Linked DNA regions of Callithrix jacchus. The protein of the gene in region 2 purifies or fractionates together with the protein of the main gene of each other region. This does not show direct contact. Links are inferred from orthologs where the notes say so. Each region holds a gene or a part of one and is shown on either strand. Other genes may lie near its edges.

Region 1 (7,794 bases), on a different chromosome or scaffold from region 2:
TTTTTTGCAAAGAAAATGTAATTTAATGGTCTTTCATTCTTAGTACACACTCATAATTAATGCTATATCCCAATGAGACTAGGAAGATCTAATCAGAGTTGGGAGACCCCCTTGAGCTCTAAATACATACTTTAAGAACCTAACAACCAAAATTAAGTTCTTATGGTTAAAATCTAGAAACATACACCACAATAACACAAAAGTATTTACAAAAAGCTGCTACAAGTCAACACAGAAAAGATCGTACCAGACCTAAAAGCCTATACTACTTACCATTAAAACCACACAGGAAAAAGAAATGAAAACCTATACATAACTGCCAGCTTAATTATTTTTCCGGTAATTTTTCAATTTGACCTTAACTAATCTTGCAAGATAATACATACGATGTTGTTGTTCTGAGAATTAATCATTTTCTTTTCCTTTTTTTTTTTTGGAGACAAGAGTTTCGCTCTTGCTACCCAGGCTGGAGTGCAATGGCTCGATCTCGGCTTACCACAACCTCCCGACTCCCAGGTTCAATCGATTCTCCTACCTCAGCCTCCTGAGAAGCTGGGTTTAGAGGCACGTGCCATCAAGCTTGGCTATTTTTTTTTTGTACTTTTAGTAGAGACTGGGTTTCACTGTGTTAGCCAGATGGTCTTGATCTCGTGACCTGGTGATCTGCCCGCCTCAGTCTCCCAAAGTGCTGGGATTACAGGCGTGAGCCACCATACCCAGCCTAATCATTTTCTTTTACCCTGAAATTGCTGAAATCAGCTCCCTAGTTGATTAAAAATATATATATATTTAAATAAAACTACAGACACCAAAGAGAAACTAATCTTTACTGTTTAAATAATCAAACCATTTGTAAAGATTCACTTTCAGCTGGGAGAGGTGGCTCACACCTGTAATCCCAACACTTTGGGAGACCGAGAGGGGCAGATCACTTCAGGTCAGGAGTTCGAGACCAGCCTGGCCAACATGGCAAAACTGTCTCTATTAAAAATATAAAAATTAGCTGGGCATGGTGGCATGCTCCTATAATCCTAGCTACTCAGGAGGCTGAGGCATAAGAATCACTTGAATCCAGAAGGTAGAGGTTGTAGTAAGCCAAGGTTGGCCACCGCATTCCAGAGACAAAGACTCCATCTCAAAAAAAAAAAGAAAGAAAAGAAAAAAGATGATCCACTTTCAAGATGATTATGTTATTACCTTTGGTATAAAAATCTAAAAATGCTTTCTATTACAAAATATTTTCCCATTTCATTCACATATTTATTAAATATTTACTCACGTTTATTAAATATTTGTTGAGCACAAACTATGTGCCAGGCACATTTTAGGCACTGACAAAACAACAGTATACAAGTCAGTCGAAAATACCTGATCCCTGGCCAGATGCAGTGACTCACACCTGTAATCCCAGCATTTTGGGAGGCTTCGCAGGCGCATCACCTGAGGTTGGGAGCTCGAGACCAGGCTCACCAACGTGGAGAAACCCGTCTCTACTAAAAATACAAAATTAGTCGGGCGTGGTGGCGCATGCCTATAATTTCAGCTACTAGGGAGGCGAAGACTGCGGTGAGCTGAGATCGCGCCCTTGCACTACAGCCTGGGCAAGAAGAGCAAAACTTCGTGACCCCTCCCCCCCCAACAAAAAAAAAAATTCCTGCTCCTGTGAAACTTACATATTCTAGACCAGGAAACAATACAATGTAAGATATAGCACTTGTTGAGAAGTGATAAGTATAAAAGTGAAAAAAACAAGAAATATGAAGTAAGTGAGAAAGACAGTCTAACTGGATGAAGAAAAAAAAAAGGCCGGGCACAAGGGCTCATGCCTGTAATCCCAGCACTTTGGGAGGCCAAGGCGGGCGGATCACAAATTCAGGAGTTTGAGACCAGCCTGACCAACATGGTGAAACCCTGTCTCCACTAAAAAAAAAAAAAAAAACTCAAAAATTAGCCAGGCATGGGGGTGGGTGCCTGTAAGCCCAGCTACTCAGAAGGCTGAGGCGGGAGAATTGCTTGAACCCAGGAAGTGGAGGTTGCAGATTGCACCACTGCACTCCATCCAGCCTGGGCGACAGAGTGAGACTGTCTCAAAAAAACCAACAAGGACAACAACAAAAAGCATACATTTACTCTCTTAAGTTAACAGCTCTGAGCCATACCTATCCGTGGCCTTGGAGTCCAGTCACTAGAGCTTGCATGTGAGGCTCTATCCTCCTCATCACTTTCACAGGAATGAAAACCATTAGTGATAATTTCATCACCGAACAGAAGGTTATCTGCAAAACAAACCAAAAGTCAGCCAAGACTACCAAAACAATGTGCACCTAATATGTATGAAGACCCATAAAGGGTTATAGTGTAATCATTTTCATTAAGCATTTAACATTTATATTGTATGTGTAAATGCTATGGGGTCGGCTTGCACTTCTCATAGGTACAGTTTCTTCATATTTAGGAATTCTGCTCTGACTCTAAAAGTTTCGGCCAAAATCTAAAAATAAATTAAGTCTACTTAAACAGAAAAGATAGTAACATATAGAAAGTATCAACCACAAACAATAGAGTTCGTGAAACTTGTAATAAATGGAAATTTACACAAAAATGTCATTCAAATAAAACTGGCAAAGTGCACTTTAAATTCATATAATACTAAACATAGGTATCTCTGAATTGTTTCCTCTATTAAATAATAAACAGTATTAACAACACAATTATTAAATTAGCATTCAACTGTGTTGCTTGAAATCAGGGTCTCTTGACCGGGCACAGCGGCTCACGCCTGTAATCCCAGCACTTTGGGAGGCCGAAGCGGGCGGATCACCTGAGGTCGGGAGATCGAGACTACACTGACCAACGTGATGAAACCCCATCTCTATATTTTAAAAAAAATTAATAATAATAAAAAAAGGCACACATTACTTTTTTTGAGACAGGGTCTCACTGTGTTGTCCACCGTGGAGTGCAGTGGCGCGATCATAGTTCACTGCAACCTCGAACTCCTGGGCTCAAGAGATCCTCCCGCCTCAGTAGCTCGGACTACAACTGTGCACCACCATGCACGGCTAATCTTTTTAAAAAATTTTTAGTAGAAAGGTGGTCTCACTATGTTGCCCAGGCTGGTCTAAAACTTCCAGGCTCAAGAGATCCTCCCGCTTTGGCCTCCCAAAGGGCTGGGATTACAAGAAAGAGACACTGCGCCCGGCCTGACCCAAATATTGATAAAGATGAACACCTCTCAAAAATAGAAATTCCTCAGATGAAAAATATAAAACCTTCAAAAACACGACAAATGCAACATATCTGCTTCATTATACTAGCAATGTTAAATGTGTCTCAGTACATACATACAAAAGAGTATGCTTCGCCTCAACACCGTCACCGTACACAAGAGCAAGATTAAAATAAAAGTAATACGAACTGCTCTAAAAGTAGTATGACTCTCCCATGCCCACTACTAACTGCATTACAGAATGGTAATGTCTTCAGGAACAGCCATGTTCTTTATATTTTGCAGGCTGTGACTACAGAAACAGCTTTGCTCTTTTAAAAATTGTAATTTCAGGCATAAAAATATAGACCCTAAAAAAAAGCAAATTGCACAAGTGTCAGATTGCAAAAAGTAATTGAAAATGCCGACGAACGGGGACAGCAAAAAGTTGCAGACTTAAGTGTCCTGGGGGGAGGGCGGGGAGAAAAAAGCAACCCCCCCCCAAAAAAAAGGGGGAAAAAAAAAAGCTCTAACAAAAGCAATATGCTAAAAGAGTAAGAGGGAAAAGAGAAAACTTATTTTAAAGCGACTGCGAGAGCCTCCCGACCTGGCTGCTGCGCAAAGCGCAAGGCCTCCCAGGCCGGCCACAGACAGAGAAAAAGCGAATCCACCCGCAGCTCCCGCAGCAGGAACGGCAGCCCCGGAGGAGCGCAATTAAGCGGAGGGCCGTGGTGGGGAAGAGAACGCCACGGAGCCTGCCCCGAGTCTCCGGCGCGTCCCAGAGACCCCCTCAACCCCACGCCAGGAAGATCCCCGGGAGAGGGAGGAGGGGATGCGCAGTTCCGGCAGCCCGCACCCTGCGCACCTCGGTACCCAATCGCCGCCGCCGCCGCCGCCTCTTCCTCCTCGTCGCCCTCGTCGTCGTCGTCGTCGTCGTCTTCGTCGTAGAAGTCGTCAGCCGGCGGTGGCTCCTGAGATAGGCCCTGCAGGCCCGGCCCATTGTCTCCTTCCCCAGCCACGGCCGTCGCCTGGGCCTCTTGTTCCCCGCCCGCCGCCGCCGCTCCCCCTGCCCCTGCCTCCGCCTCCCGCCACAGCGCCGCCGCAGCCGCCGGGCAGCTCTCGGCCGCCGCCGGCACCTCACGCTCCGGGGCCGTCCCACCGAGCTCGTTCGGGCTCCGCTCGGGGCCAGGACCATCTCTCCGCGGCCTCTTGCGGAGCGGCTCCCCGGCGGGCGGGGACGCGGCCTCCCTCTCGGCCGCCGCCGCCGAGGGGGAGCCGCCGGGCTGAAGGACCAGGGCCGCCTCGTCCGCCATCTTCCAACTGCCTCTCTGGCCCTCCTCCGTCGCCTCCTCTGCTCCCGCTTGACGCGCGGCACTGGCGCCCCCGCGGCTCCGGCTGCGGGAGATTTAAACCCCGTCACGTGACCCGCCCCATCGCCACCCCCGCCCTCTAGGCGCTCCCGCCACCCACGCGGGCCAGACCACAACACTACGGGTCACGTGGCGGGCGGAGGCAGCTGCGTCTACTACTCCGCCTGAGCTGGTAGGAAACTGTGCCCCGGCGGCCCGCGGCCGTACCCTTCTGTGGCACAGGCGTGTTGTGCAGCCAAATTCGCCCCTCGGCCGCTTTCTCAGCTTCTCTTTCAAACCGACCTCAAATCATTACCGCCCGAACAACTCCAGTTTTGGTCCGCACTGGGAATTTTTACTTCTGCCTCAAGTGTACACCTGGCCTGCCTTAGCCTTGTCTAGATTTAGCTAAGGGTTAAAACACACATGAAGCTGGCTAAGACTCAGCTCCCTTAAATACGCTGGATAGCCGTTCTGTTTCGTCAATGGGTAGGAAGAGAGGCAAAAGGAGGCGGCTCCCTTCCCACCCTCCTCACAAGCACACCATTCTCACAGTTCTTCTTTAGCTTTTTTCTGCTCCTTGCTTCTCTCCTTAGTCGGTTGTTTTTGCCCCTCTCCGTCACTTGTAGGGTGGTATAGATTGTCAGATCCTTTAAGGCATATGTCCTCATGGGAAGACGACCTTTGACACGAGGGTTTGGAGATCAGCTGGTTTGCATTCTGGCCCCAGCTTGGCTTCAAGCGTGTGTGAATTCCCTTCTCTGGGGCTCAGTTTTCTCACGTACAGAATGGGTGTGTTGGGTCAGTATGAGGAGAGTATGGAAGGAAAAGGACTTGGCCTCCATGCACATCTGCGCTTGGTTAAAATTTGGAGTCCTTCCTTTCTAGCATGAGCTATCTATGTAGCCGTTTGTTTATTTATTTATTTATTTATTTATTTATTTGAGACGCAGTTTTGCCCTTGTTACCCAGGCTGGAGTGCAATGGTGCGATGTCGGCTCACCGCAATCTCCGCCTCCTGGGTTCAGGCAATTCTCCTGCATCAGCCTCCTGAGTAGCTGGTATTACAGGCACGCGCCACCATGCCCAGCTAATTTTTTGTATTTTTAGTAGAGACGGGGTTTCACCATGTTGACCAGGATGGTCTCGATCTCTTGACCTTGTGATCCACCCGCCTCGGCCTCCCAAACTGCTGGGATTACAGGCGTGAGCCACTGCGCCTGGCCCATTTATTTATTTATTTATTTAAGACGGGGCGGTGGGGGGGGGGCTTGCTCTGTCGCCAGGCTGGAGTGCAGAGGCACGATCTCGCCTCACTGCAACCTCCACCTCCCAGGTTCAAGCGATTTTCCTGCCTCAGCCTCCTGAATAGCTGGGATTACAGGCGCGCCACCACGCCTGGACCTATGTAGCCTTTTCTAAACACAATTTTTCTCATGTCTTAAATGGTAATAATACGTATTTTGCAGGGTCATGGTGAGATTTAAATGAGATAACCTAGTGTAAAATGAAAGGTACCTAGTAGTTCAAAAGCGTTATTGGAAAGCCTTTCCAGTTACTTTCTTCCCTCCCTGAAATTCTGGGACACTGTGACTCCATAGCTAACCATAACTAAGGACTCATATAACCCACGGTAGATCTAGAGCCAGTGTTTGTTATGGCATCTGCCTGGAGCACAGCGTTTCTATCAAAATCTTTAATCGAGATGGGGTCTTGCTATGTTGTCCAGGTTGGCCTCAAACTCCTGACCTCAAGGCATCCTCCTGCCTATTTTGTCTTTTTCACTACGTTAGAAGACAAGTGTTGGCCGGGCGTCGTGGCTCACCCCTGTAATCCCAGCACTTTGGGAGGCCAGGGTGGGCAGATCACGAGGTCAGGAGTTTGAGACCAGCCTGATCAACATGGTAAAACCCTGTCTCTACTAAAAATACAAAATATTAGCCAGGTGTGGTGGCGCATGCCTGTAATCCCAACTACTCAAGTGGCTGAGGCAAGAGAATTGCTTGAACCCAGGAGGCAGAGGTTTCAGTAAGCTGAGATCATGCCACTGCACTCCAGGGTGACAGGGCAAGACTCCACTTCACCAAAAAAAAAAAAAGACAAATGGTGTACTTTCCTACAGAACTTAGTATTCTTCACTTTATCAAACAACATTTGGGTAGCTGTGTGAAATTTTCAAACTATGGCAAATAGACTGTTTAGTAATGCACCTGACTTCCGCCAGCAGTATACAAACCTAGATCAGGTTCTCAACTGGGATATTTTGCCCTCCATCCCCCAGAGGACACTTGACATTTCAAAGACATTTTTGGTTGTCACACCTGCAAGAAGGATGTACTACTGGCATCCAGTGGATAGAGGCCAGGGGTGTTGCTAAACGTTCTAGAAATCTAGAGAATAGCTGTCTACAGCAAATAGTTATCCAGCCAAAGTTTCAACAGTACCATGGTTGAGAAACACTGATCTAAAGTTTCAACCCTATAGGTCAAGTGGTAATGATTGAGGCTCTAAGTGAGGAACGTTCCCAAGGGAATGAAGAGGCAAGCTTTTATTACCAAAGCTAGGTTGCAGAGTAGCATAGGAGTGATTTTCACACTGGTTTTTATCAGAATCCACCCACTGAATGAACTTAACTCTATTATATAGTATCATGAAGATATATTTCCTTTTTAAAGGACTCTCATTAATTAGTAAGAAAAAGATTGTAGCCTAGTTGGAAATAAAGAGTTCAGTTCACAGAAAGTGGGACACACGTGGCTTTTAAACACATGAAAAATGTAAAACCTCACTCATAGGTTAACCTGCAACAAAATACCAGTTTTTACCCATCAAAATAGTAAGGAACTAGCAGGCACAGTAATTCACACCTGTAATCCTAGAATGTTGGGAGGCCCAGGCGGGCAAATCACTTGGGGTCAGGAGTTTGAGACCAGACTGGCCAACATGGCAAAACCTCATCTCTACTAAAAATACAAAAATCAGCTGGGCGTGATGGCAGGTGTCTATAATCGCAGCTACTCAAGAGGCTGATGCAGGAGAATCACTAGAACCCAGGAAGTGGAGGTTGCAGTGAGTCAAGATTGTGCCATTGTACTCCAGCCTGGGTGACAGAGCAAGACTCTTCTTTTCTTTTCTTTCTTTCTTTTTTTTTTTTTTAAAGATGGAGTCTTGTTCTGTCACCCAGGCTGAAGTGCAGTGGTGCAATCTCTGCTCACTGCAACCTCCGCCTCCTGGGCT
Region 2 (7,742 bases):
CCTCCAAAATGGTGAATATATTTCATTTTCCTGCCTTAGCATTTCTTCTATCTATCAAAAACATTTTTTTTTTTTTTTTTGAGACCAAGTTTCGCTGTTGTTACCCAGGCTGGAGTGCAATGGCGCGATCTCGGCTCACTACAACCTCCGCCTCCTGGGTTCAGGCAATTCTCCTGCCTCAGCCTCCTGAGTAGCTGGGATTACAGGCAGGCGCCACCATGCCCAGCTAATTTTTTTGGATTTTTAGTAGAGACGGGGTTTCACCATGTTGACAGGATGGTCTCGATCTCTTGACCTCGTGATCCACCCGCCTCGGCCTCCCAAAGTGCTGGGATTACAGGCTTGAGCTACCACGCCCAGCCCTCTACTTGGTCTTTTAAATCAAACCTTCATTTGGTTCAGTGGAGTTCATCTGTTATTACTAAGATCTGCGGGTTGACTGAAAGGAAATACACTACGAAGTTATAATGGTTATAGCTATAGTGGGATTGCAGGATATTTATAATTTTTCATCTGTGTGTTGAGAAGGTTACTGATGGGAAAGTGAAAAATGAGAGCTGCATCACCACTCTTATGTGAGCTTGGGCAAATCAGCCTCTTTGTACCTCTCTTTTTCTAAGTTAAAGAGGGTCACCAAGGTGATCTCCAAGTTTACTTTCAAGTTTAACATTCTGTGGGTCTAATGGAAAAGAAAGTTTAGCTTGATATAACCCTGATGAAGGGCAATTTGGCTGTGCCTTTCAAAATCATGCATGGGTCACCTGCTGACCCAGTGACTCCCATTTCTGGAAATTCCTCCTGTAGATACACTTTTAGAGATGTGAAATGAAGTTACGCAAGGTTATTTCTTACAGAATAGTCTGTGATAGCTCAAGACTGGAAACAAGTCACATATTCACCAACATCCTGGGGTTCAGGAAATTGATACTTAGATACAACGGTGTGGTAGTTAGCTGTAAAAACCCTTCAATATATATTTTTTGGACCTATGTGTCAGGGACATTGGTGCTATACGTTCTCTGTGCCTGCCTCTTCAATTTTTCTTTCTTTCTTTTTTTTTTAAAGACCAAATAAAACCAAACTATAACATTTGAAGAAACACAACTGGGTGGGAGAGCCTCAAAGATTTCAAGGATTTGGGGAAAGTCTGTAGGAAGACTCCCTTAACCAAATAAATATTCTTCTCTGATTGACGCCCTGAAAAACCGGAATAGAAATGAAGGCAAGGCCAAATTTGAAGCTGGCTTTCTTTGCCAAGAATGATCCACTCCGGCACCGCCTATTTTTAGGGTGCGGCTGTCTGGATCGGGGACTGCTTCTGCGGAGTGTAACTGGAAAGGTTGGGGGAAGCAACAGCTGTACTTTGGGGCCTGCCTTGGAGCGCATCATCTGGGTTACTGAGGTCCCCTAGCGGCTGGCAGAGGAGGCCCAGACTGTCCAAATTTGACAGTAAACGTGAAGAGACCACTAGGCAAGGGTGGGAACCAGTCTCCACCCGTCCCCAATCCATCCGGCTCAGGCTCCCCACCCCACCCATTCCTAGTATCATTAAGAAGCTGTAGTGATAAATGGATCATGAAGAAACTGGGGCCCGGACTAGAGAGAGGATAGGAAGAATATAAAAGAAGAAACAGATCGCTCTCTAAATCTTTTTAACTTTTGTAAAAAGTTAAAAGGCCTAATTTTTTCATTTTCTCCTTTTTTTTCCAACAATCTCTCGTCCAACAGACTTAATTTTCTCTAGATGCTATTCTTTCTTTCTTTCTTTTTTTTAGACGGAGTTTCCCTCGTTACCCAGGCTGGAGTGCAATGTCGCGATCTCGGCTCACCGCAACCTCCGCCTCCTGGGTTCAGGCAATTCTGCCTCAGCCTCCCGAGTAGCTGGGACTACAGGCCCGTGTCACCACCCCCAGCTAATTTTTGTATTTTTAGTAGACATGGGGTTTTACCATGTTGGTCAGGATGGTCTCGATCTCTTGACTTCGTGATCCACCCGCGTCGGCCTCCCAAAGTGCTGGGATTATGGACGTGGGCCACCGCGCCCCGCCTAGATGCTACTTTTTCTATAGCAGAATTACTTGTAAGAAAGAAAGGGGATTTTTTTTTTTTTTTAAGAGTTGGAAGCTGTCCTTTTGGGCAAGATATTAAAAACCTTACTGTCCATCTTCTATTCTGAGTGGTCCCATCCCTCTAAAAGGAAATGCCTTCCATATTCTTCCTAAAAAAGCAAAGGCATAACAAAACAAAACTGGAAAACTGTTTCTTCTGCTCCCTGAGACACAAGGGCCATTATCTTCCTACCTTTGGCCCCACTGATCCTTGACAGGATGTCCTGGACCTGCAGCCCAGATGAGGAAAGATGGGGTGTGGGTGGGGGTTTGACTGACGCACACAGCAAGTAGCCTCAAGAACTTGGGGGTGGGGCAGGCTGCGCCCCAAGGCTTTGGTCCTATCCCCCGCCCCCCCCCGCCGTTTTTACTTAACACCCGATCACTTCCGTTGTAAATATAAAATAACAAACAGTTAAATTTAATTAGGGGTAGGTAGTAAAGTGTCTTGGTTCTCGATAACTGCGTTCCTAAGCCCTTCGCTGCGGGCCCTGAACTCAGTGGACGAAGCTGGAAGTTCCCGCCCAGGGGAAGAAGTTCCCACGGAGGGCAGGCGGTTGCGGGTGCCTTTGGATCCCTGTCTGCACTGAGACCGGAGTACCTCCTCCGGGCGCCGGAGTCCCAGTTCCTCACGTTTAGCCCTTTAAAAAAGGTCAAGGATACAGTAAATCCGGCTGGGGGCTGCTCGGCTGGGCGACGCGTCCGCAGCTAGACAGAAAGGCACAGGCTGAGCCCGGGGGTGCGGACAGGTGGGCGCGGGGCGCGGAGAAGGCACCCTAGGCGCGGACTCCACCGCGGGGGGCCGCGGCGCCTGGGGCGGGGGGCGCGTGCCGCCCGTGCGGGGGCCGGAGGACTTGACAGATCGCAGCGAAAGAAAACATTCAACCAAAACAAAACCCAGCGATTCCCCACGTTGCTCAGCAAAGACTTCGTGGGTGGAGCCAGGAGGGAGCTACTGGGTAGAATTCTGCGCGGCCGCCTCCGCCCGTCCACCCCGCGCCCCCGGCCCCCGGCCCTGCCCGCTCGCGGGACTCGGCCCGCAGCCGAGGTCAGGGCGTAGCGAGCGCCTCGTCCCACCCGGGCTTCCAGAGTACTCGGCTCTGCAGCTCCGTAGTAAACAAAGTGTCGCCGCCACCTCCACGCTGGTTTGCTTCCTAGCAATCAAAACACTGAGAAGGCGAGAGAATCACAGAAACACTCGAGAATTACCAGAAAATAACAGAGATCCAAAAAAAATAAAAAAGGTGTGTGAAAGAGAAAAACACCCCGCTACCCCCACCAGCCCACTGCCGCCTCCCGGCGGAAAACCGGGCCCCGCCCAGCCCGGAGCGCACTGGCTGCCCGGGCGGCGGTGCCGCGTGCCCATTGGCTGCGCGAACTGTCGGTCAGGGGCGGGCCGGCGCGCGCGTCGCCGCGGGCGGGGGGCGGCGGCAGATCCCGTAAGTCGGGCGGCCTCGTAGTTGCTGCAGCCGCCGCCGCCGCCGCCGCCACATTCAACAGGCAGCAGCGCAGCGGGCGCGCCGCCGGGCAAAGCGAGCGGCCGCGGCGTCCGTCCGTCCTTCCGTCCGCGGCCCTGTCAGCGGGAGCGCGGCGCAGGCTGTGCCCCGGCTCGGCGGCTCCGGCCCGCCGTCCAGTCCGTGCGGCAGACCCCGAGGAGCCTGGATGTGGATGGCCCCGCGAAGTTAAGTTCTGGGCTCGCGCCTGCACCCCGCCGCGCCTTCCTCCCAGTGTCCGTCCGCTCGGCGCACCGGCTTCGTCCCCCCAAATCCCGGACCGTCTCTTCGCGCCCCCTCGCCCTCTGCCCCCGGTGCTGCGCTCTTCCCCTCTCGGCTCTCTCGCGGCTGGGGGAGGGGCGGGGGTCACCATGGCCGAAGCGCCCCAGGTGGTGGAGATCGACCCGGACTTCGAGCCGCTGCCCCGGCCGCGCTCGTGCACCTGGCCGCTGCCCAGGCCGGAGTTTAGCCAGTCCAGTTCGGCCACCTCCAGCCCGGCGCCGTCGGGCGGCGCGGCTGCCAATCCCGACGCCGCGGCGGGCCTGCCCTCGGCCTCGGCGGCCGCTGTCAGCGCTGAGTTCATGAGCAACCTGAGCCTGCTGGAGGAGAACGAGGACTTCCCGCAGGCGCCCGGCTCCGTGGCGGCGGCGGTGGCGGCGGCTGCCGTGGCCGCCGCCGGGGGACTGTGCGGGGACTTCCAGGGCCCGGAGGCGGGCTGCCTGCACCCAGCGCCGCCGCAGCCCCCGCCGCCCGGGCCGCTGCCGCAGCACCCACCAGTGCCCCCCGCCGCCGCCGGGCCGCTCGCGGGACAGCCGCGCAAGAGCAGCTCGTCCCGCCGCAACGCGTGGGGCAACCTGTCCTACGCTGACCTCATCACCAAGGCCATCGAGAGTTCGGCGGAGAAGCGGCTCACGCTGTCGCAGATCTACGAGTGGATGGTCAAGAGCGTGCCCTACTTCAAGGATAAGGGTGACAGCAACAGCTCCGCGGGCTGGAAGGTGAGCGGCCTCGGCGCGCGGCCGGACCTTGGGGGCGCGGTGGGGCAGGCGAGGGCGCAGCTGTGCAGGTTTGCTCGGCCCGAGGGTGCGGGGCAGGAGGGCAGCGCGTGCCTAGGAGGGCGGGCGCGAATCGGTGGTCGCAGTGGGCTCGCCCGGGTCCGTCCGGGACCGCAGTAGGTGTGCGCGCGCGCCAGAGTCCGCGTGGGACGCGGACAGGGGTTCGTTGGGGAACTAAGTAAAGAACGTGCGTCAAGAAGTGGACGTCAGAGCGGCCGAAAAGTTTGCCAGTGAAAGGAGAAAGGGGTTCGCTGGGAGCGGCACCCCCACGGCCCGCGCTGACTGCTTCGGCTGCCCCTTCCCTCCTTGACCTCCGCGGGGCGAGGGCGGGTCCTCTCCCGCCGCGCCGCGAGGCTGTTTCCGCCGGGCGCGGCGGGGGAGGGCACGGAAAGGGTCCCCGGAGCCTCCCTGCCCCGGGACGGGGCTGCAGGTGGAGGGGACTGGCAGAGCGCGATCGGCTGGGGACGGTGTAAGTCCGGCCACGCAGTTTCGGGAGGCGGTGCGCATTTTGCTTTGTTTTGGTTTTCTCCGGAGTGGCCTCGAGTTCAGGGGGCCGGGCGTCCCGATCCCGAGGTGGCGCCTCCGACACGTGCGAAGGGGCGGCCACCGCCTGCGGAGCGCCGGCGCCCGGCCGCGCGGGGCGAGCTAAAGTTCAAGTGTGACCCTCGGCGGGGGCGGGCGCGGGCGGTGACGAGGGAGGGGCTCTGGGCGCAGGAAGCTAGTGCCTTTAAAGGGCCAGCGCGTCCGGGTCGGGCGCCTTGGGGCCCGCGCTTCCCCATGGGGGAAGCGCCCGAATCTGGTCTTGCCCCTGGTACGAGGCTTTTAGTTAGAAACACAGAGGCTGCCCTGGGGTGCCGGGGGCTGGGATGTGTGCGTCTTTTCCTGCCTTGCTCTACCCTATTCTTGAGCGGGGAGGTCCAGATGGGGGAGCTGGGGGCCAGACGAGGGGCTTTGCGACCAGTGTTTTGACGGAGTCGGAGTGGCGGTGCGCGTTGAGGGAGCGGAGCCTGGAAGGAGGATTTTTGCCTTTCAGAACGTGGCCAGGAGGCACTTCAGCGTGGGGGCAGGCACTTACCGACTCCGAGGAGGGCCTCGGCTAGGTCCGGGGAGGCTTCCCGGGGGCGAGGTCCAGTCGCCGCGCGGCCTCCCCAAGCTGACAGTTTCTCACTGTCACCGGTGGCAGAACTGCTGTAAAGGCTGACTAGTTGAGTAAACACTGTTTTTTGAGACGGAGTCTCGCTCTGTCGCCAGGCTGGAGTGCAGTGGTGCGATCTTGGCTCACTGCAACCTCCGACTCCCTGGTTCACGCGATTCTCTGCCTCAGCCTTCCGAGTAGCCGGGATTACAGGCAGGAACCACCACGCCCAGCTAATTTTTGTATTTTTAGTAGAGACGGCGTTTTACCATGTTGACCAGAATGGTCTCGATCTCCTGACTTCGTGATCCGCCCACCTCGGCCTCCCAAAATGTTGGGGATAACAGGCGTGAGCCACTGCGCCCGGCCGAGCTAAACACCTTTTAAAACAAACTTTCCTCGCCTCTCTTGTCGACTGTATAGCATAATAAAGATTGGTGTTTGCTGCGCAGTTGTTAAACCAAGGTTATTTTACATAGTGTCGTCCCTGTGGTTAAAGCGTGTCAAAAAGGTTAAGTTACTCACACCGTATTGAAGCTCCTGGAGGAGTTCAAGATGCATTTTATTTTTTCCAAAGTATGTTTTAGAGTAAAGGTATCACTTATCGCTTCATTACCAGGCATTACATGCAATTTTACCGAGTGTTTGAAAAAGGTAAAGTGCCTTCTTATCTTTAAGCTCAGCATATGTTCTTTTAAGTCACAAAATCGAAATTGTCTGCCAAGTCTTGTTTTACTTAACATTTGAATTTAAGTACTTGACTTACTTGCTCATCTATCAATTCTATCTCAGCTGTTACAGAGTATTAGCCATTAAATAAAATCCCGCCCCCCCCCTTTTTTTTTGCATTCAAAGTAGTGTATACTTACACCATTCTTTAGTCCTTGGAAATGGATACAACCTACTTCAACTTGCTGGAGTGCCTTTCTTGAAAGATAAAGGCAGTGTTTGGGATATTTTTAGTTTTGCGACTCAAATGGCGTTGTCAGCGTGTTAGTCTTGAACTGGGAATATAACTTATACTTTTTAAGATTTAGGTTTTTAAAAAATAGATTCTGATGTTAAATCATCTTTGCAACCATTTTACCAGGTTCTTGTTCTCATTTTTTTTTTTTTTTAAATGGGAGAATAATTTAGTGTTTTTATTTTTGTTTTTTTGAATTGCCAGAGCTAGGAGACCTGTTAAGGACTAACTGTCTAGAATTGGAGGCCGGCGGGCGGCTCCCAGGGGGAGCCTAATGGGGCTTTGCTCTGGAGTCAGGCTGCTTCTCAAATGAGTAAATGTTTCAGGTGTACGGTCGGTTGATTTAAGTCGGATTACAGCAAGTGCTTTTTCAGTTTGAGTAAAAGAGTATTTTAAGAAGAAAAGAAACAACCTGAGCTGTTCTAACTCATAACTAATCTTCTGGTTAGAGTTTCATAAAAACGAGTTACTTGTTAAAACCAAGTTTCGCTCAGATCTGAAAGATTCCTGTTCTAAGATTCATAAAAGAGAAATTTTATTATGACTTTTAACTTAAATCCAGTTTTTAAATGCAAATCAACCAAAACTTACCTGTTTTAGGACCGAGAAGTTGCTTTGGAACAAAATATTTCCTGTGATTTACTACTGGGAATTAGGCTGAATCTTAAATAGTTTCTTGTGTGCTACTTCCTGGGGACTGCCTGAAAGTTTGAGTCATTTGCATAGGACAGACTAGTTAGGAAGCTGTTAATGAATTCAAAAACTTTTAATGTCATTCTTTAGATAGTTAAGTGCTGGTTATATTTGAAGGATATGCATTTTGTGTTTGTGGGGATGATATGTTAAATGTCTTACACTTGTTTTAATATTGGCTAGAATTGCCATAAAGTCACACACAAGGTGGAACCTAAGGCTTTTGGGAAAACCTGGGATCTTCTAAATCTAGTGCAGTATTTATAAATAGTGAAACTTCATTTTCATGACCTG
Region 3 (7,786 bases), on a different chromosome or scaffold from region 2:
CCTCAGTCCATCTGAGGAGGGGTCTGGTACCAGGTGGGCAGGCTTATAGGTGAGGGAGCAGAAACTTGGATGCCAGGCTGTGGGCAGGTGACTCCTTTTTCCCATGAGGCAGAGGAGGGCTGTCCCTGCTGCCCATCACTGGGAACCTGGGGTGCCAGAGTTTCCCAGAGGGCCTGAGCTCTGCATTCCCTGGTCCTAGGTGGGGTAGGGATACCAGCTTGAATACACCCTGCAGGTGGGGAGCCCAAGGGCCCAGCAACTGGATCCTGGCAGCTCTGGGTCTATGAGTGCCAGGTCTGCGTCCCAAGTGATCTGGGGCCTCCAAGTGGGAATCCTGGGTCTTACATATCCAATTGTCAATCATCTGGGCCCTGAGTGGAGGTCCCTGGTCCCGATGCCTGGGTTCCTGAAGCCTAGGCGTGATTTCCCAAGGAGTTCGGTCTGGAATCAGGGAAGAGAGCCCAGGGCCAGGTGCTCTCACCTAGCCTGGGAGCTCAGTCCTTCCCTGGTGGCGACCCTCACCCTCATAGTTTTCAGCCTCCAGCTGTAGCTTCCACTCCTCCTCACTCTCCTCTTCTTCCTTCTCCAAGTCAGAATCGGGGTACAAGGTGACAGGGGTATGGTTGGTGTCGGGATTGTGGTCTGGGCCATGAGCGAGGTAGGTGTCCGGGGCTTCCCTGGGCCGCCGAGGGCGGGGCTGAAGCAGGGCACGGGCACAGGCAAGTGCCCCCACACGGCAGGCCAGGTGTAGCGCCGTGTGGCCCCCACGCTCTGCCACGCACAGCCCAGCGCCTGCTGCATACAGCTTCTCCACCGTGGATGCCTCCCCCAGGATGGCTGCCAGGTGCAGGGCCGTCTGCAGAAGCAGAGGACAGGCAGTAGGGAGTCACACTGGGAACCCCAGACCCCAACCCCTACTCCATCCCCTCGTGGCTCACCTGGCCTAGGTCATTCTGCAGGTCCATGTACTCAGTGCCGGCTGAGAAGCCTAGAAGAAAATCCAGGAAGGGTTCGTGCTGATGAATCACAGCCAAATGCAGTGCCCTGGGGACAAAGACTGGGGTCAGAGGGCAAAATTCAAGTCCTCTTGCATTCCTTCATTCAACAAACATGGGGTGGCTACTGTATGCTAGGCTTTGGGACCACAGTTCTGGAACCCACTGTCAGCTATCTGGGAGGGTCAGAGAGGTCAGAGTTTCATCAGCAAATTTGTGGAACCAACAATGTTTATTCAGTGGGATTTCCACTTCTGCCCAAAATGAAGTAACATGGACCAGACTTCCCTCCCACAAGAAACAAAGAAAAATCAGACGCAATACGGTATATGAAGCAACAGTGTTGAAGACGCTGGACGTCATGCAATGAATCACAGTGGCCCCCGAAAGACAGGAAACATGAGGTGGGCCCTACACTTGACTGCCACAGCTTATGGTCTTGAGAGCCACGGTTGAGAGAGGGGACCCCAAGCAGAGCCCATCAGGTTGTCTGAGGTCAGGAGATGGACATGGAGGAAGAGTCTGTAGAGACCAGGCTTGCAAGAGTCACAGGACAGAGTTGTTGGCCAGGCGCAGTAGCTCACACTTTGGAGTGAGCTAAGAATCAAAGACCAATTGAAAACTAAAATAAAATTAATGAAACCAAATTAATTAACAAAAATTAATAAACCTAAAGCTGGTTCTTTGGTAAGATCAGTATTTATTAACTGCTTCCTGGGACAGGCACTGCCTGCATCACTGGGCATAGGGCAGTAAACACAACAGACAAAAAAACCCAGTACAGTCCCTCATCTGGGCCTTTGCAATTGCAGTTCCTTCTGCCTGAAATGCTCTTATCTTGTTTATCTATTGCCTCATTTTCCTGCTTTATTTTTCTCCAAAGTACTGACAACCTGTGACTTTCTTTCCTTCTCTTACTTTCTGTGTCTTTCTTTCTGCATGTCTTTGTTTCTTTCTGTCTTTCTGTTTCTTTCCTTCCTTGCTGTCTTATCAATCTGTTTAGCCCCACTAAAATAAAACGTCTCCTTCACAAGGGCTTTAGTTTTTTGTCTGTTTTCTTCACTGCCTTTATCACTAGCACCTAAAACGAAGCCTGGAATGTGGTAATATGTAAAGAATATTTGTTCAACAGATGAATCCTTGGTTTCATGGAGCTTACATTCTTTTTTCTTTTTCTATTTTTCTACTTCAATTAGGAATTCAACATAGGAGAACTTACATTCTCACTCTTTTAAGACTTGAAGAACACTGCTCAGAAAACAAGATCTTAGAGTCAGGGACCAAGTATTAATTTCGGAAATCAGTCTAAGGCTCACATCAGGAACTAAGAATCAAAGATTATATTTGGAGGTTCGAAGTCAGGAGAAGCCACAGTTCTAACAAAAGCCTCAGGACTGGAGTCGGGTTTGGGTATCCGTGGACAGAATGTGGATTCCAGGAGCTGAGAATCATAGTTCAAGAAAGGAAGGTCTGAAATGATTGGGTTAGCATCACAGCTGGATAGAAGATTGGTTTTGTTAAAAGTTAGGACTCAGGGGTTACAGGTCAGGAAGTTCAGCATCGGAAATCAGATTTAGGAGTAGGAGGTTAGGAAGCCTCAGGGATCAGAAACTAATGGGGAATCAGACGCCGGGTCCTAGGGCTCCGTTTGGCAACCTAAGGTTCACTCACGTGTCCCCATCCTCAGTGACGTAGCCGAAGACAAGGGGCGCCCACGACAGCCCCGGGCCCAGCTCTGCGACCAAGCCCGGTCCTCCGGGGGCCGCTGCGTCCGGACCCAGGGAGCCCAGGCCGCTGTCGCACCATTCATCTGCGTCGGCAGCTTTTCCCAAGCACGCGACCCCAGCCATGGCCCCCGCCACCTCAGGGGCCCCCCGCAGTCGCTTGCCTGGAGCTGGGCTTTGCCGGCAGTTCTGGCGCTTCCGCCCTGCGGGAAATTCCCCACCACGCCCCCTAATTCATCCAATGATAATATGCTGAATCGCTCGCGCCCTACCCTGGTACCATATCGTGACCAATCAGAGTATTTGGGAGGACTACGACTCACTAGCCGTTTTTACATTTTCCGGGCGCCCTTTACCAACATGGCTGCTGACGCCGCGCCTTCTGGGACTCGAAGTCCGGCCCTAGCGCGCTTTCTTACCTAAGTCTGGGGCGCTCTGGCTGTCGTACGAAAGCGCGGCTTCTGCCGCAATGGCTACTGGGAGTTGTAGTTCTAAGCCCTATCCCGGCCACTCCCATTTCTGGTGCCGTCACGGGACAGAGCAGTCGGTGACAGGACAGAGCAGTCGGTGACGGGACACAGTGGTTGGTGACGGGACAGAGCGATCGGTGACAGCCACGAGGGCTTCAGCACCGTGCCCATGGCAGAGCCAGACCGTGAGTCGGGGACCCGGGTGGGAGGGTCGGGCCGCGCCGGGGCCTAGCTGAAGGCTGCAGGCCCCGGGGCCCGAGGGCGGCCGCTGCGGGGCGGGAAGTAGGGAGCGCTTCGGATAGTGGGATTCTGAGGGTTGTTGCTAAGCGATCTGTATCGCTAGGCTGGTGGGTTTCTGGGTCGCAGGTTGTTCGGGGTTGGTTTATCACATCCGCTTGCCAAGTTGCCAATAATGGCGTGTTTTTCGTATCTTGGTTGCTGAGGACCCTCGCTGCAAAGAACCTAAGTTGCCGCGGTCCCTGTTGCTAAGGGTACCTAATTGTTAGAGGCAACCGGAGGATGCTGAGGGACCCCTGTTGTCCCCTCCTATGGCTTCCCTTCGTATCCGCGCCTCTCCCAAACCTACCGCCTCCACTGCACCACTGCACCTCCCTCCCAGACCTGCCTCCCAGCCGAAGCGTCCCCTCCCTTCTCCCTTCCTTTCTAAACTTCCCTCTGCCTTGTAAACCTAACCCTCCCGCACACACACTCACACTGCTGCGTCCTTCCTAACTCCTCCTGAGTGTTCCTTCATGCCCTGAATCCCCTAGGCAGGAGGAAGGAGGATCGCTTGAGCCCAGGAGTTTGAGGCTGCAGTGAGCTATGATCGCACCATTGCACTCCAGCCTGGGTGACATGAGCCAGGCCCTTTCTCTAAAAAGTAAAAGACAAAGAAAGTCAGGGCCAGACACAATGGCTCATGCCTGTAATCCCAGTACTTTGGGAGGCCAAGGTGGTTGGATCGATTGAGCCCAGGAGTTCAAGACCAGCCTGGGCAAAAGCCCCTACTTCTCCCTGTCCTCCTAAATCTTCCTCCCCAGCCTCTCTGCCCCTCACTAATCACCTCCCCGGGCACCACTTTGCATGCGGATAAGATATTTTCTCCCATCCCCTCTTTCCCTCTGCTCCAATTTTACCACCACCCCGTCCCAGTGTAACTAGGTTGGTGGGTGTTCTTGCCCCCTCACTGACAATTTGAACCCTTGTGTTCCCCCCTTAATCGTTCTCCCTACTGTAACCACCTCTGCTCCCCTCCCCCAGCCTCTCACCCTCTGGAGACCCAGGCAGGGAAGGTGCAGGAGGCTCAGGTGAGATGGGGGAAATGGTGGAGGGGAGGAGAGACATGGACTTGTTCCACATCCCATGCTGGGGGGAGGTGGCAAAGGAGAGACAGTCACCCCAGGGCCCTTGGCTCATTGTCCCAATCCTCACGCCACCCAGGGCAGCTTTATGGGGACAGGCAGATTCTGGGGATTGTCACAGAAGAGTTTGCAGTCTCGAGTCCAGGCTTGCCCTCCCAAACTCTCCTCCTTCCTTGCCACTGCCTCCCATCCCTTCTAAACCAAATTTGTCCTGGGCCTGGAAGAGACAGGTGTCCCATTTGGTCTTGGAACACACAGATCTCATGGACAAGTAATGGGAAAAATGATCCGACAGCCTGATGATGAAAGGAACTCAGGGTACGGGCGGGGGAGGCAGGTGCAGTGGCTTATACCTGTAATCCTAATAACTCAGGAGGCTAAGGCATGAGGGTCACTTGAGTCCAGGAGTTTGAGGCTGCAGTGAGCTATGATTGCATAGTGACACTCCACCCTGGGTAAAAGAGCAAGACCCTTTCTCTAAGAAGTAAAAAAGAAAGAAAGAAAGTAACTCAGGGCCCGACACAGTGGCTCATGCTTGTAATTCCATTACTTTGCGAGGCTAGGGTAGGAGGATCGCTTGAGCCCGGGAGTTTCAGACCAGTCTGGCCAACATAGGTGGCCCCCATCTCTATAAAAAATTTAGAAATTAGCCATGTGTAGTGTTTCATGCCTGTAGTGCCAGCTACTCAGGAGGCTGAGTGGGGGGAGGATTGCTTAAGCCCAGGAGGTTGAGGCCGTGGTGTGCCATGATTGTGACATTACACTCCAACCTGGGTGACAGAGCAAGACCCTGTCTCAAAAAAAAAAAAAAAAGGAATAAAAAGAAAGAAACTCAGGGCACTGTGGGAGCACAGAGAAAAGTTTCTGGGTCAAAGAAGATTCCAGCCAGACCAGTCCCTGGAGGAGTCTGCAGGCTGGTCTAGCCATCAGACACAGCATAAGTGAAGAGTGACTTAGAATTTTCTTAGACAAGGTGAGAAATGGTGGTTCACACAGCAGGTACAGCTTGTGCAAAGACCTGACCTGGGGGCATGAAGGAGTGTAATGGTGTGTTCCGTAATTGGGCAGCTGGTGGTGGTCAGCTTGTGATAGTCGTGGTTAGCGTTGACTGACAGCTTACTTAGGCTGGGCACTGTTTAGTGACAAATGTGCCTCATCTCATTTCATCTTCCTGGCATCCCTGTGAAGAGAAATGCCTATCATGGCCATTTTACAGTTGCAGAATTTGAGGCAGAGTTGTTAAGTCACTTATCCTCTGTCCCTAGGTGACAGGAGTAAGGAAGGGTTTGAGACCGGGCATGGTGGCTCACGCCTGTAATCCCAGCACTTTGGGAGGCCAAGGCGGGCAGATCACTTGAGGTCAAGAGATTGTGACCATCCTGGCCCACATGGTGAAACCCCGTCTCTACTGAAAAATACAAAGCTTGTAGTCCCAGCTACTCAAGAAGCTGTGAGGCAGGAGAATTGCTTGAACCTGGGAGGCGGAGGTTGCAGTGTGCCAAGATCGCTCCACTGCATTCCAGCCTGGTACCTGGTGGCAGAAAGAGACTCTGTCTCAAAAAAATAAAAATAAAAATAAAAAAAGGAAGAGTTTGAGTCCCCCAGCACTGGGTGCACTGCCTGCCAGCAGCTGCCAGGAGAGGTGGGCAGGCAGTCTCATGGGAGCCTGAAGGCACCTGCCAGCACCTCCAGCTCTCCCTTAGGCCAAGCTGCAGGGACATGCTGGGCACAGGCCCTCCACAGAGCCTCACTGTGTACAGCCTGAAAGAGTGCCAGCCCACCCACACCCCCGAGATTGCCTTTCAGATGTGGGGTGGTGCAGAAGTGGGCATCAGAATACTTCACAAATGCACAGTGGAGCCATGCTGAGGGTATAACAGCCTCCTGTTAGACTGTGGCAAGTCACTCGCCTGGCCCCCAAAGCACCACCACTGTCAGAGAAAAAGGTTGAATGTGAAAAAGGAGCCTCAGTCCCAAAGAGAGAGATGTAAAATGCAGCATTGTCCGTCACAGGGCCAAACTGGAAACAGTCCAAATGGCTGTCAGTGGATGGGTTAAATGAACTATGGTTCATCCATACAACCTAAATCTATGCAGCTGCTGTGAAGAATGAGGTGAGGCCAGGCACGGTGTCTCACACCTGTAATCCCAGCACTTTGGGAGGCAGGAGGATCACTTGAGCCCAGGAATTCGAGAACGGCCTGGGCAACATAACAAGATACTGTCTCTCTTTTTTTTTTTTTTTCGAGACAGAGTCTTGCTCTGTTGCCCCGGTTGGAATACAATGGCATACTCTCGGCTCACTGCAACCTCTGCCTCCTGGGTTCAAGAGACTTTTCTGCCTCAGCTTCCCAAGTAGCTGGGATTACAGGTGCGTGGAACCACTTCTGGCTAATTTTTTGTTTTTTAGTAGAAATGTGGTTTCACCACGTTGGTCAGGCTGGTCTTGAACTCCTGACCTTGTGATCCTCCCGCCTCTGCCTCCCAAAGTTCTGGGATTACTGACTAGCACCGCGCCTGGCCCACTGTCTCTTTTTTAAAAAAAATTTTTTTCTTTTTGAAATTGCATTTGACCCAGCAAAAAAAAATTTTTTTAATGGGATGGGCCTGTAGTATATTGTTCTGCAGAAAACTCAAGATCTTGCATCATTCTGTGACCTATTTCTGTAACAATAATTACTTTTATACAGAGAAAACTGGAGTAATTACCATTAGGCATAGTTAACAATGGTTATCTTTTTTTTTCTTTTTTTCTTTTTTTTTTTAAGACGGGGTTTCACCATGTTGGTCAGGCTGGTCCTCAACGCCCAACGTTAGGTGATCCGCCTGCCTTGGCCTCCAAAGTGCTTGGATTACAGGCGTGAGCCACCTCACCCGGCCAACAATCGTTATCTTTATAATGGTGAGCTTGGGCAATTACAAGGCAAATGCCCCCCTTGCTGAAGTATACACGAGTATGGTCAAGGTTTTGCAGAGGTTGTCCAATCTCTCTTTCTCTTTGTCTCTCTGTCTCTCGTTCTCTCTCTCTTTAAATAGAGACAGAGTCTCACTGTATTACCTAGGCTGGTCTTGAACTCCTGGCCCCAAGCAGTCGTCCTGCCTCAGCCTCGCAGAGTGTTGGAATTACAGGCATGAGCCGCCGTGCCCAGCCTAGGTTGTGCAATCTTAAAAAGCAATTTAAAAAATTGTCCTGTGTTTGGAAGGGAGGGTCTTATTCAAAAAAGTCTGGACATAAG

Evidence for each region. Proteins that work in one complex are often made in the same cells at the same time.
Region 1: the proteins of FOXO1 (region 2) and SIRT1 purify together in Homo sapiens (affinity purification with western blotting; 5 studies listed by BioGRID and IntAct, with this or other methods). This does not show direct contact. The link is inferred for Callithrix jacchus from reciprocal best matches to the Homo sapiens genes FOXO1 and SIRT1.
Region 3: the proteins of FOXO1 (region 2) and SIRT2 purify together in Homo sapiens (affinity purification with western blotting; 3 studies listed by BioGRID). This does not show direct contact. The link is inferred for Callithrix jacchus from reciprocal best matches to the Homo sapiens genes FOXO1 and SIRT2.

Annotation. Positions count from the first base shown.
Region 1 is NC_133513.1:62,527,011-62,534,804, forward strand, and holds the start of SIRT1 (NAD-dependent protein deacetylase sirtuin-1), read right to left. Parts: upstream 4,531-7,794; 5' UTR 4,522-4,530; coding exon 4,074-4,521; intron 4,031-4,073; exon of another isoform or gene 3,816-4,030; intron 2,277-3,815; coding exon 2,160-2,276; intron 1-2,159. UniProt on the Homo sapiens protein: NAD-dependent protein deacetylase that links transcriptional regulation directly to intracellular energetics and participates in the coordination of several separated cellular functions such as cell cycle, response to DNA damage, metabolism, apoptosis and autophagy.
Region 2 is NC_133506.1:159,846,653-159,854,394, reverse strand, and holds the start of FOXO1 (forkhead box protein O1), read left to right. Parts: upstream 1-3,540; 5' UTR 3,541-3,972; coding exon 3,973-4,599; intron 4,600-7,742. UniProt on the Homo sapiens protein: Transcription factor that is the main target of insulin signaling and regulates metabolic homeostasis in response to oxidative stress.
Region 3 is NC_133523.1:34,457,545-34,465,330, reverse strand, and holds the start of SIRT2 (NAD-dependent protein deacetylase sirtuin-2), read left to right. Parts: upstream 1-3,256; 5' UTR 3,257-3,358; coding exon 3,359-3,374; exon of another isoform or gene 3,375-3,480; intron 3,481-4,449; coding exon 4,450-4,496; intron 4,497-7,318; exon of another isoform or gene 7,319-7,449; coding exon of another isoform or gene 7,450-7,452; intron 7,453-7,786. Other genes in the region: NFKBIB (NF-kappa-B inhibitor beta), read right to left, coding at 523-856, 939-1,044, 2,667-2,845. UniProt on the Homo sapiens protein: NAD-dependent protein deacetylase, which deacetylates internal lysines on histone and alpha-tubulin as well as many other proteins such as key transcription factors.